Xenopus tropicalis: one gene and its partner. The protein of the gene in region 1 purifies or fractionates together with the protein of each later gene. This does not show direct contact. Links are inferred from orthologs where the notes say so. Each region holds a gene or a part of one and is shown on either strand. Other genes may lie near its edges.

Region 1 (5,358 bases):
AGCCACTGTATATACTCTGTACTTTGCACTTCTGTTCAGCAGAGTCTACACAACCAGTATAGAGGAGCATGTATTGATACAAGGGCATTGGCCTGGCTACAATATCCTACCCATGTGGGTGCTTCTCATATTTTTATTCAGGTGTGGGCAATCCAAACACCAGCTTCTTGGCCCATGCCACCCTAAACGTGCATTCTGACAACTGCTGGGACAGATCTCTTGCTAAAGGCAATACAATTCTCACCATCATTGCAGAGACATGGGTGGGGGGAGGAGACGTGTGAATTAAGCAACTTTTCAAATAGTCATTACTTATTTTGTGTGGCGTTTGATTTATTGCCTAAGGGCTCTTACATGTGGGCAAGGCATGCTGAGCGCATAAAACGCATATTATATTTATATGCATTTTTTTTAAACACACCTAAGTGTGTCAGTTCCAAATGCAACCCTTCCTCAATTCTTGGCCCTAGGATTGAATTTGGGCTGAGGACTGCATCAGTAAGCCAACGCTGTCCCTGATCCAACAGGAAAATCAAACCTGCCTGCGATTTTCGGGCATATATCAATAAGGGAGGCCCATACATGGGAAGATAAGCTGTCGAAATGGTCTAAAGGACTTGAATTGGCTTCAATCTTCCATGTATGGCCACCTTTACAGTGCTACTGCTGACTAAAGCTGGGCATATAGCTGGGCATATGTGAGGTTGCCCAACCATTCTTACTCTGGGCCAAATTGAGATTACTGTTATGGTTGGCTCCCAGGCCAGATCAGATCATAATTTGAGCCAAGGAAAACCTGGGCTGCATCAACGTGGTCATTTAATTTTTGGCTGACATGATTATCAGGCAGGCATATATCTGGCCAAATGTCACAATACATGAGACAGTGAAGGCCTGAGTTTGCAGTTTTATTGGCTCAAGTATGGCTACCTTACATCCAGTGAGCTAAATGGCAAGAAGCAAGGACTACTGGCACAGACAACACAGAAATGCCACTTAGTGTCTCTGCCATTAGGGTTTTCCCTTCTAAGGGGGGAAACACAGGAAACCACAAGCAGGCTCTTTACCAGCACAGGCTTTTATTCCACACACAATTTACAGATGCATATTGGCATTGGCATTTTTTTTTTTTTTAAAGAATTTTTTTTCCCCTATATTAAGGAAGGAAAAGGACACGTTAGTGAAGACCCTGATATACAAATCATAACATCCATCACTTCCAAATCAGTTTATACAGTTCATAATGAGAGGTTGCAGGGCCAGCCCTGTTAGGGAGTAAAGTGACCAGAGGAAAGTGGGTGCCGCTCCGAAGGGCCCTATCTAGTACAACCTTTGATCTGATAGGAATTTTTTATGGTTTTTTTTTTTTTTTTTGGTCACTAGCCTTCTCAATGGGATTTGCCCAGACACCAACTCATTTGTTATAATACTGTGTCCAGGCCTGCTTGTCCCCATTAAACATTTACTAAAAGAACTAAGGGCACAGTTGATCGGTCACTTTGCTCCTACTAAGATTGACCCCCTTTTTTTTAAAAAAAAAAAAAAAAAAGAAAAAAAAGAAAAAGCTTTAAAACCATATTACTCTGGCCATGTAAAAAAAACAAAAACACAAAAACCCACATCAGGCATGTCCAATCCTAAAACCCCCAACACCTTTGACTGTTGAAGGATTCTGGGAATTTTAGTTCAACAACAGGTCCAGGTTGGACAACCCTGCAGTCCATGGTGCTTTCCCACAGTGTCTTTCCCCCCTAAAATAAATCACAGGCACATAATAAAAAAAAAAAAATGGAACTGGCAGCTGCCATAGTCTCCAGGATTCTAAATGGCAAGATCCACATCATGTCATCATTTTAGCATTTACCTCCCCCAAAACCCCCTCGCCTCATCCTGTAAGATTTAGTAAATCTGTGCCTGATGAAATACTGAGTATAATTTCATTAAACGTGCAAGATCTATGAATCGATTTGCTGCCAGAGGTACTGCAGGCGGCCTGCACCCATATACTATGTAACAGAAATGATACCAGAAGCAGCACACATCATGCCTATGTTCATGTTACTGGGGGGGGGGGGGGGGGGAGGTGGTTCCTGCAACTTCTTGGTGGCTCGTGTCTCAGAGTCCCATTTCAGGAAGTTCACGCCTCGGTTCTGTTGGAAAGTTGTCTCCAGATGGCAAGATCCAATGTCAGTAGAGGAAGCAGCAGCAGGCACCCTCTTGACACAGTAGAAAGATCCAGGCTGACCTGAGGATTCCCATTAGATCATATATATATGTATGCATGTATACATATATGACAGTCACAACTGCTCTCCATACCTGGCACAGGCACTGCAAGTGGGACAGGAAGAGACAGTAAATACGGCAAAATTGGGTCCAGTATTTGTTTTGCGGAAAGGAATAAACCGCATTGGGCGAGGTATATTTTGGATCCTCTTTTTTTCTAACATAGTTCTTACCAGACCTGATAATATTCACATTCAAGGGTTTATTTATTTAGGGGTACACCTGGCATTACGCCCATTTGTCTCCATGGGATATATAAATATACCGAGAGAACAGTGCATGTATATTTGGGCACCCAGTCTGACTATGTATAGCACTCCTTGGTCCACTATGTTCAATTGAGTTCGCTGTACATTCCTGGTGTCAGAGGGGCAGGAGGTTTAGGTTTCTTCTTCTTGCTTGTGCCACCTCCACTTGCCAGGCTGACATGACTTGGCTTCTTTTTCTTAGGCTTGCGAGTGTCTGAGTTATTTGTACCTAGGCAGGGAGGAATACAGGAGGATAGGTAGGATAGTAAGGAAGAGGAAAAAGGGAAAAGCATATAGATGAGCGCAAGAGTAATACAAAAAATTCACAGTTGGAAAGCACAAGCAACCAACCAACAGGCACAAGAAGATGAGAGCGCATTCAAACAGAAACAGTGTGACATTGGCCTTATATTGCTCATTTACAACACTGACCACAAGAAGGGGATTGGGCAAACCTTGCTGCATCACAATTACCACATATCCTCCCCCCTGCCTCTGGGTCTCTTACTGGCTTTAGAGGACGCAGAATCGGAAGGAGAAATGTCAGATGATCCATCCCACTGCAGCCGACTCATCAGTGCCTGTCCCTCCACCACATCGAAGCTGTCGTTATCCGTACTGCCGTCAGCCTCGGGGAGAGAGCTGGTAGGGAGGCAGGGGAGAGCACCATCTGTAATGCTTAGCCTTACAAACAGGTTGTGTGTCTTTTGCCCTGTGCAGTCCTATAGGTATAGGCTAGGAGCAAGCAGGCTCCAGTTTTATGAAGGTGAAAATGTCACAGTATGCGGTTGCTAAACAAATCAGCAAAACTGGAGAAGGATGAAGAACCCTCATTCAGTCCAGTCATAGTGATCCCAGTGGGGATTGTACTCTAGAACCGTCATAAAAAATCCCTATGTAACTGCAAAAGCTAGGAAAATGTCCCTGCCCAGTACAGTCCTAGAGGTACCAAGAAGGAAGGGAGACACTGCTACGCATCCTGTTGTCTGTGCTCCTATCAGATTTATGGAGTTATGTGGTCAGTTGGGCACTTACGCAGAGGAGCCCAGCAAATAGACTCTCACAGACCGGCGCTGGTCATCTGTGTGTTGGGGGCAACGATGCGATCTAAAGAGAAAACAGATACTGATGAGAAAAACAAACTGAGGAAATCAGTTTTGCCTTTGTGGTTCATGAGCAATAAGCAGAAGTCAGTGGCATAGGAACACCAGCACAGTATTACAATGACTGACCTGGTACACATCTTCTTAGTGTGCTCCGATATAACCCCGCATTGCTATGGAGAAATAAAAAGGGATGAATTAACAGCTTTCCCAGTGGGTGCCATACAACTGGATTGCATTATAATGTACAGCTCTACCACAGCACTCACAGGACTTTGAAAAATAACAATATTTTTAATACTGCAATAAAATTATATATTGCACTAACAAAAATATTGTGTTATTTCTCAAAGTCCTCTCTACCTTTTTTGTACTTCACCACTTGACCTGGCACCCAGGCAGTAGGATGTTTTTGGAGTGTGCCCTCTAGAATTTATTTTACGACTGGCACACCCTATAAAAAAATCACAGCTTTATTGCTAACACATTGCACAAAATTAGTCCAACGTTTCGATCCTTAACAGAACCTTTCAAAGCAAAGCTCTTCAGTACCTTTGAATACATATGCAAAACCCTCTCCCCCTCTCTTGCCCAATGGTTCCATGACATTTTCATGCACTTATTGAAAGGGACTGGATCTCTAGTATTTTGACTTATAGTTCAGTGACTGTAGGGTGCTTACCGTGGTTAGAAGTGTTTGAAGCTCATCTGGGCCGAGGTTCTCATAACTAATCCCTGAACTGCTATTATACTGAAAAGGGAAAGAAGCATTAGTATCAGTGCAGAAAGGAACATATATTTGTGCAAAGAACCATTATACCTTTATATTTTCTGCAAACTGTGCTGGCACAGATTTATAGTCTCTTTGCCAGGTCTGGACTGAGACCCAAGATACAGTGGATATAAAAAGTCTACACACCCCTGATAAAATGTCAGGTTCCTGTGCTGTACAAAAATGAGACAAAGATAAATCATTTCAGAACTTTTTCCACCTTTAATGTGACCTATAAACTCAATTGAAAAACAAACTGAAATCTTTAAGGTGGAGGGAAGAAAACCAAAAAAAACTAAAATAATGTGGTTGCATAAGTGTGCACACCCTCTTCTAACTGGGGATGTAGCTGTGTTCAGAATTAAGCAATCACATTCAAAATCATGTTAAGTAGGAGTCAGCATACACCTGCCATCATTTAAAGTGCCTATGATTAACCCCAAATAAAGTTCAGCTGCTCTAGTTGGTTTTTCCTGACATTTTTTTTAGTTGCATCCCACAGCAAAAGCCATGGTCCCCAGAGAGCTTCCAAAGCATCAGAGGGATCTCATTGTTAAAAGATATCAGTCAGGAGAAGGGTACAAAAGAATTTCCAAGGCATTAGATATACCATGGAACACAGTGAAGACAGTCATCATCAAGTGGAGAAAATATGGCACAACAGTGACATTACCAAGAACTGGACGTCCCTCCAAAATTGATGAAAAGACGAGAAGAAAACTGGTCAGGGAGGCTACCAAGAGGCCTACAGCAACATTAAAGGAGCTGCAGGAATATCTGGCAAGTACTGGCTGTGTGGTACATGTGACAACAATCTCCCGTATTCTTCATGTGTCTGGGCTATGGGGTAGAGTGGCAAGATGAAAGCCTTTTCTTTCGAAGAAAAACATCCAAGCCAGGCTACATTTTGCAAAAACACATCTGAAGTCTCACAAAAACATGTGGGAAA
Region 2 (6,036 bases), on another chromosome or scaffold:
ATATGGGGGGGAAGGTATCGTGAGTTGAGGGACTTAGCGGGCCCGCCTGTATGGGCTAGAGAAATGCAAAACATTGTAGTGGCGCTTAAATGCGGAACTCTCGGGGTAAGAATAGTCAGGGCTTGGTTGCGGTGTAATGGGGTTGTGGAAAATACTCAAAATGGGAGTGGGATTCAGGGGTTGCGCGACAGGGGGCATGATTGGGCAGACTAGGGGGGGAGCGATAGAAACAGCCAAGAACAGGGGGAGGAGCAAGACACGAAAGGGGCGGTGCAGGAGGCAGACAGGGGGGAGCAGCAAGACAGGGGGGGGAGCAGACAGGGGAGGGATGAGAAGGGGACAGACAGGGGGGGAGCAAGCAGGGGGGGAGACGGGGGCGCAGACAGGGGGTGCAACGGGGGGAGCCAGGGGGGGGGCAGACGACTGAGCACCAGACAGGGGGATCCGCTCTGGGACCTGTATAGTCAGTGCCTGTATGGGGCCACAGTCAGGAATCCCTTGGGGTAAGGGCTCTGGCACACAGGGAGATTAGTCGCCCGAAACAAATCTCCCTTATCACAGGTGACTAATCTCCCCGAACTGCCATCCCACTGGCAAAAATGTAAGTCACCAGTGGGATGGCACACGCTGCGCAGGCAACTTTGTTGCCTCGCGTGTGCCAGAGCCCTAAGGGGGGGGTGTAAGTGTAGATCCCCCACTGAGTATATATAGAAATGTCACTGGGGGCAGAGACCCCTTACTCCACTGCCCCTACACACAATACATCAGGGCACAGGAGTGTGTTAGTTACTGACGGCGAGTGTGTTAGTTACTGACGGCGAGTGTGTTAGTTACTGACGGCGAGTGTGTTAGGGCGAGTGTGTTAGTTACTGACGGCGAGTGTGTTAGGGCGAGTGTGTTAGTTACTGACGGCGAGTGTGTTAGTTACTGACGGCGAGTGTGTTAGTTACTGACGGCGAGTGTGTTAGTTACTGACGGCGAGTGTGTTAGGGCGAGTGTGTTAGTTACTGACGGCGAGTGTTAGGGCGAGTGTTAGTTACTGACGGCGAGTGTATTAGTTACTCACGGCGAGTGTGTTAGTTACTGACGGCGAGTGTCTTAGTTACTGACGGCGAGTGTCTTAGTTACTGACGGCGAGTGTGTTAGTTACTGACGGCGAGTGTATTAGTTACTGACGGCGAGTGTATTAGTTACTGACGGCGAGTGTGTTAGTTACTGACGGCGAGTGTATAGTTACTGACGGCGAGTGTCGTTAGTTACTGACGGCGAGTGTGTTAGTTACTGACGGCGAGTGTTATAGTTACTGACGGCGAGTGTGTTAGTTACTGACGGCGAGTGTATTAGTTACTGACGGCGAGTGTATTAGTTACTGACGGCGAGTGTATTAGTTACTGACGGCGAGTGTGTTAGTTACTGACGGCGAGTGTATAGTTACTGACGGCGAGTGTGTTAGTTACTGACGGCGAGTGTGTTAGTTACTGACGGCGAGTGTATAGTTACTGACGGCGAGTGTATTAGTTACTGACGGCGAGTGTATTAGTTACTGACAGTGAGTGGGTTAGTTACTGACAGTGAGTGGGTTAGTTACTGACGGCGAGTGGGTTAGTTACTGACAGTGAGTGGGTTAGTTACTGACAGTGAGTGGGTTAGTTACTGACAGTGAGTGGGTTAGTTACTGACAGTGAGTGGGTTAGTTACTGACAGTGAGTGGGTTAGTTACTGACGGCGAGTGTATTAGTTACTGACAGTGAGTGGGTTAGTTACTGACAGTGAGTGGGTTAGTTACTGACGGCGAGTGGGTTAGTTACTGACAGTGAGTGGGTTAGTTACTGACAGTGAGTGGGTTAGTTACTGACAGTGAGTGGGTTAGTTACTGACAGTGAGTGGGTTAGTTACTGACAGTGAGTGGGTTAGTTACTGACAGTGAGTGGGTTAGTTACTGACAGTGAGTGGGTTAGTTACTGACAGTGAGTGTAAAGAGACCCCCATAATGGCTGCCTGAGTGGAGGCGGGGGGGGGGGGGGTGGATCAATAAAAAGAAAGTCCCAGCTCCCGGGAGGCGGACACTCACCCACTTGCTCAGTGAATCAATGTCGGAGCAATTTGGATCCGGTTTTCACTCTTGTGGTTTCCCAGTCCGTTTTCGGTCTGCGAACTCCGCCATATTGCTACACCCAAATACTGGCCTCAAGCAGCCCCTGCCCCAGGGTAAAGTCCAGCCCGCCGGCTCCTAACAGCCCCGGTTTGGTTGCCTGTGGCGCTTTTCACGCTCAGAAGAAGGAGTTGGTGTCGCGCCTCACTGTCAGTCTGACTCCCATGCACTTCGCTAAGCTCATTTCCGTGTGTAGCAACATGGCGGCACTCTAGCGTGCCTCAGCACGTAACCAAGCGACATCCAATCACAGTCTGGCTTTGTTCAAATCCTAACGCAGCTTTGCTATCACCGCTTTGATTGGCAACATTTTAAGCCAGTAAATGGCCGCGCCCTGGCAGGTAGCCAATGGGCTTTCTACGTAAGGTTATGTTTCTCCTGAGCTGTGTAGCTGCCGCATTGGCCGGTAGGGGGCGCTGGGACACGCCTTGCAGGAAGATGGCGTAAAGGCACTGCCCGTTGTTTTGGGGAGGAGATTAAGTGGAGGAGCTGTTTCCGGGTGTTGACGGAAGTTCCTGTCCAAGGGTGAAGATGAGCGGGACGGAGACAGCGCCAGACTCTCTATCTGCTATTGCCTCAGTCCAGCCCGGTCCGGCCCCAGAGAGTAAGCCCAGCCCGGCAAACATTCCCAAACCCGGGCCTGCCGCGGCCTCTGCAGCTGCTCTACCCGGGAGGGACACGGGGGAGCGAAGAGCCAGCGGTGAGCGGCAGCAACTGAACCGGAGAGGGAGGGGGGGGTACTCACAGGGGACTGGGACTCCAGGAAAGGCCTGGGGAGAGAAACCCAAGCATGGAGGGGAAAGGGAGAGCCGGGGGGGCAGCTGGAGCAGAGAGGGGCCCGGGGGGGGCAGCTGGAGCAGAGAGGGGCCGGGGGGGCAGCTGGAGCAGAGAGGGGCCCGGGGGGGCAGCTGGAGCAGAGAGGGGCCCGGGGGGGGCAGCTGGAGCAGAGAGGGGCCGGGGGGGGCAGCTGGAGCAGAGAGGGGCCGGGGGGGCAGCTGGAGCAGAGAGGGGCCCGGGGGGGGCAGCTGGAGCAGAGAGGGGCCGGGGGGGCAGCTGGAGCAGAGAGGGGCCCGGGGGGGCAGCTGGAGCAGAGAGGGGCCCCGGGGGGGGCAGCTGGAGCAGAGAGGGGCACCGGGGGGGGCAGCTGGAGATGAGAGGGGGCCCCGGGGGGCAGCTGGAGCAGAGAGGGGCCGGGGGGGCAGCTGGAGATGAGAGGGGCCCGGGGGGGGCAGCTGGAGCAAAGAGGGGCCCGGGGGGGGGCAGCTGGAGATGAGAGGGGGCCCCGGGGGGCAGCTGGAGATGAGAGGGGCCGGGGGGGCAGCTGGAGATGAGAGGGGCCCCGGGGGGCAGCTGGAGATGAGAGGGGGGCCCCGGGGGGCAGCTGGAGATGAGAGGGGGGCCCCGGGGGGCAGCTGGAGATGAGAGGGGGGCCCCGGGGGGCAGCTGGAGATGAAAGGGGTCCCGGGGGGCAGCTAGAGAGGAGGGGGCTGTCATAGCTGAGAATTGCCCTTTGCTAGGGCAGGGGGTAGGAGTGGTGCCGGGGGTGAGAAGGGGAACGTATGGAAGGAGCTGGGTGAATGGACCTGTTTCGGGGCAAATGGTGCCCACTGGGTTGTACAATGGGGAGTACAGTTTGGGGACAGATAGGGTGGGGGGGTATTTGGAGAATTGGGCGCAGGTAAGTGCCCGGCTGTGTGACTATTGCCCAGTCCTTTCCAATTCCAATGTATGTTCTGTTATTGATCCTCCAGTCCCTGCATCAGCGGCTGCTGCCCCCTCCGAGGGATCCCTCTCTAATGGCGTGTACCTGCCCCCGGGGGTGGCAAATGGCGATGTCAAACCTGTCATTTCCACTACCCCCCTGGTGGATTTCCTGATGCAGCTGGAGGACTATACCCCTACGGTAAGTGTCCCTTGGGTCTGTATGGGAAATGCTGTGCCCTAGGGTACTGGGGGGGGGCAGTGCCAGGCATTTGCCCCACCTTACACAGTGTCAGGGTGCAGCTTGTGCCTACAGAACATCATTTCTCTGTATGTATGTATATCTGTTGGTGGGAGCTGCCATATTGTTTCCCTGTATCATTGCTTGTATCTGTTCCAACATTTGCTTTACATTCCTTCTCCCGATTTCCTGCAGATCCCAGATGCCGTCACTGGATATTACCTGAACCGGGCCGGGTTTGAAGCATCCGACCCACGCATGTAAGTACAACTCCTGCTGCCATACGTTATTGGCCCGTGGGTACCGGAGCTTCTCAGAGCCCTGTAGCAGTTGCCTCGACTAGGAAGAACCTTCCCTTATTCTGGCCAGCCTGTAGCGCTAGGTTATGGGCCGCCGTGGCCAGTAGCCGTTTGCTCTGTGCCTACCAGGAGAGCTGACAGTCACGCTTATGGCCACAGCAACTGGAGGCCTAAATAGGGGTTAAAGTGCCCGTTCTGGTGCTGCCATTCCGTTATATGTATTATCCCTCTTTATTATTGTTTATCTTGCTTTCTAGGAACTGTAATGTAATTGGTGGAGACTCGTTTGGTGAGATTGCCAAATGAGCGGATCTTCTCCACCTACAGTGGGCAATACCGGGCTAGGGCCAAACCATCGCAATGGCAGATATCGGTTGGGTAGGCCCGTCGGGGGGTGCCCATACACGGGCAGATAAGCTGCTGAATTGGTCTGAAGGACCCGAATCGGCCCTTAAAGGAAAAGTAACACTAAACATTTTTAACTAAAAAATCTATTCTGCCCTCCCCCAATAATTGCCCTATCCTGAAATCCATTTGTTATTGTGAATGCATCAACTATGCGGTGATCGACTGATCGAGCCTAGCCTGACTCATTCCTATATACAGAAGTCAGGGGCTAGATCAGTCGATCACCGCATAGTTGATGCATTCACAATAACAAATGGATTTCAGGATAGGGCAATTATTGGGGGAGGGTAGAATAGATTTTTTTAGTTAAAAATGTTTAGTGTTACTTTTCCTTTAACCCTAGCAACCAATCAGAGTTGCTTTCATTAGTCTTACTGCAGTTATCCAATCAGGCCTGTATGGTGATTACTATGAGTTCAGCACAGCATCTGTATTGACTTCGCTTATTTTGAATTTCACACCGGATCCTCTCGATCTCTGTAGTGATCCGCTGACCCCACCGCTTGTCTCTCCTAGAATCCGGCTGATCTCCTTGGCATCTCAGAAGTTCATCTCTGACATTGCAAATGACGCCTTGCAGCACTGTAAGATGAAGGGGACGGCCTCCGGGAGCTCTCGCAGCAAAAGCAAGGTACCCCGCCAGCAAATGCCCTTCAGTGGGGCTATTGTGCCCAAGGTGCCCCTTTGTTCCGCCCAATGTTACAAGCAGCCAGTGAGAGAGCTCCTAGATCTCCTATACACATCTAGGTATGGGCTGCACCCAATAGAAATGAATGTGCCCTCACATTGCTGCTCCATAGTCAGGGCTGGGGGGTAAGTATGTAGGGAGCCGATTGGATAATGATTTTGGGGGTGGGGGTAGAGAGACCCCAGTAACCCCGAGATGATGCCCTCCTGCTCTAGTCCTGTGTCGGTGCCAAGGCACATACTTGGTACTGTCTGGGTCAGCGCCGGAGATTCTCCCTCTCTAGAGGCACAAGGCAGTCATGTGATTTCTCTTTGGGCAGGATAAGAAATACACTCTCACTATGGAAGACCTGACTCCGGCGCTGGCGGAATATGGCATCAACGTAAAGAAGCCGCACTATTTCACCTAGCGCTTCGGCCCAGCGGGCTTTCCCGTATCCCACGGACTGGCGGCACGGATCTCCATGTTACGCCCGGGGCAAAAGACTTTTAGGTCCCCTGAGGATCTTTATTGGGCTCACGTCATTGGTGGAGAGCCATGATCCACT

The links.
Region 2: the proteins of atxn7l3 (region 1) and taf10 purify together in Homo sapiens (affinity purification with mass spectrometry; 7 studies listed by BioGRID and IntAct, with this or other methods). This does not show direct contact. The link is inferred for Xenopus tropicalis from reciprocal best matches to the Homo sapiens genes ATXN7L3 and TAF10.

What each region holds. Positions count from the first base shown.
Region 1 is NC_030686.2:18,488,824-18,494,181, forward strand, and holds the end of atxn7l3 (ataxin-7-like protein 3), read right to left. Parts: intron 4,389-5,358; coding exon 4,320-4,388; intron 3,811-4,319; coding exon 3,767-3,810; intron 3,642-3,766; coding exon 3,570-3,641; intron 3,177-3,569; coding exon 3,043-3,176; intron 2,764-3,042; coding exon 2,621-2,763; 3' UTR 1,060-2,620; downstream 1-1,059. UniProt on the Homo sapiens protein: Component of the transcription regulatory histone acetylation (HAT) complex SAGA, a multiprotein complex that activates transcription by remodeling chromatin and mediating histone acetylation and deubiquitination.
Region 2 is NC_030678.2:177,469,811-177,475,846, reverse strand, and holds the start of taf10 (transcription initiation factor TFIID subunit 10), read left to right. Parts: upstream 1-2,672; 5' UTR 2,673-2,683; coding exon 2,684-2,852; intron 2,853-3,903; coding exon 3,904-4,055; intron 4,056-4,289; coding exon 4,290-4,354; intron 4,355-5,284; coding exon of another isoform or gene 5,285-5,317; coding exon 5,318-5,432; intron 5,433-5,808; coding exon 5,809-5,898; 3' UTR 5,899-6,036. UniProt on the Homo sapiens protein: The TFIID basal transcription factor complex plays a major role in the initiation of RNA polymerase II (Pol II)-dependent transcription.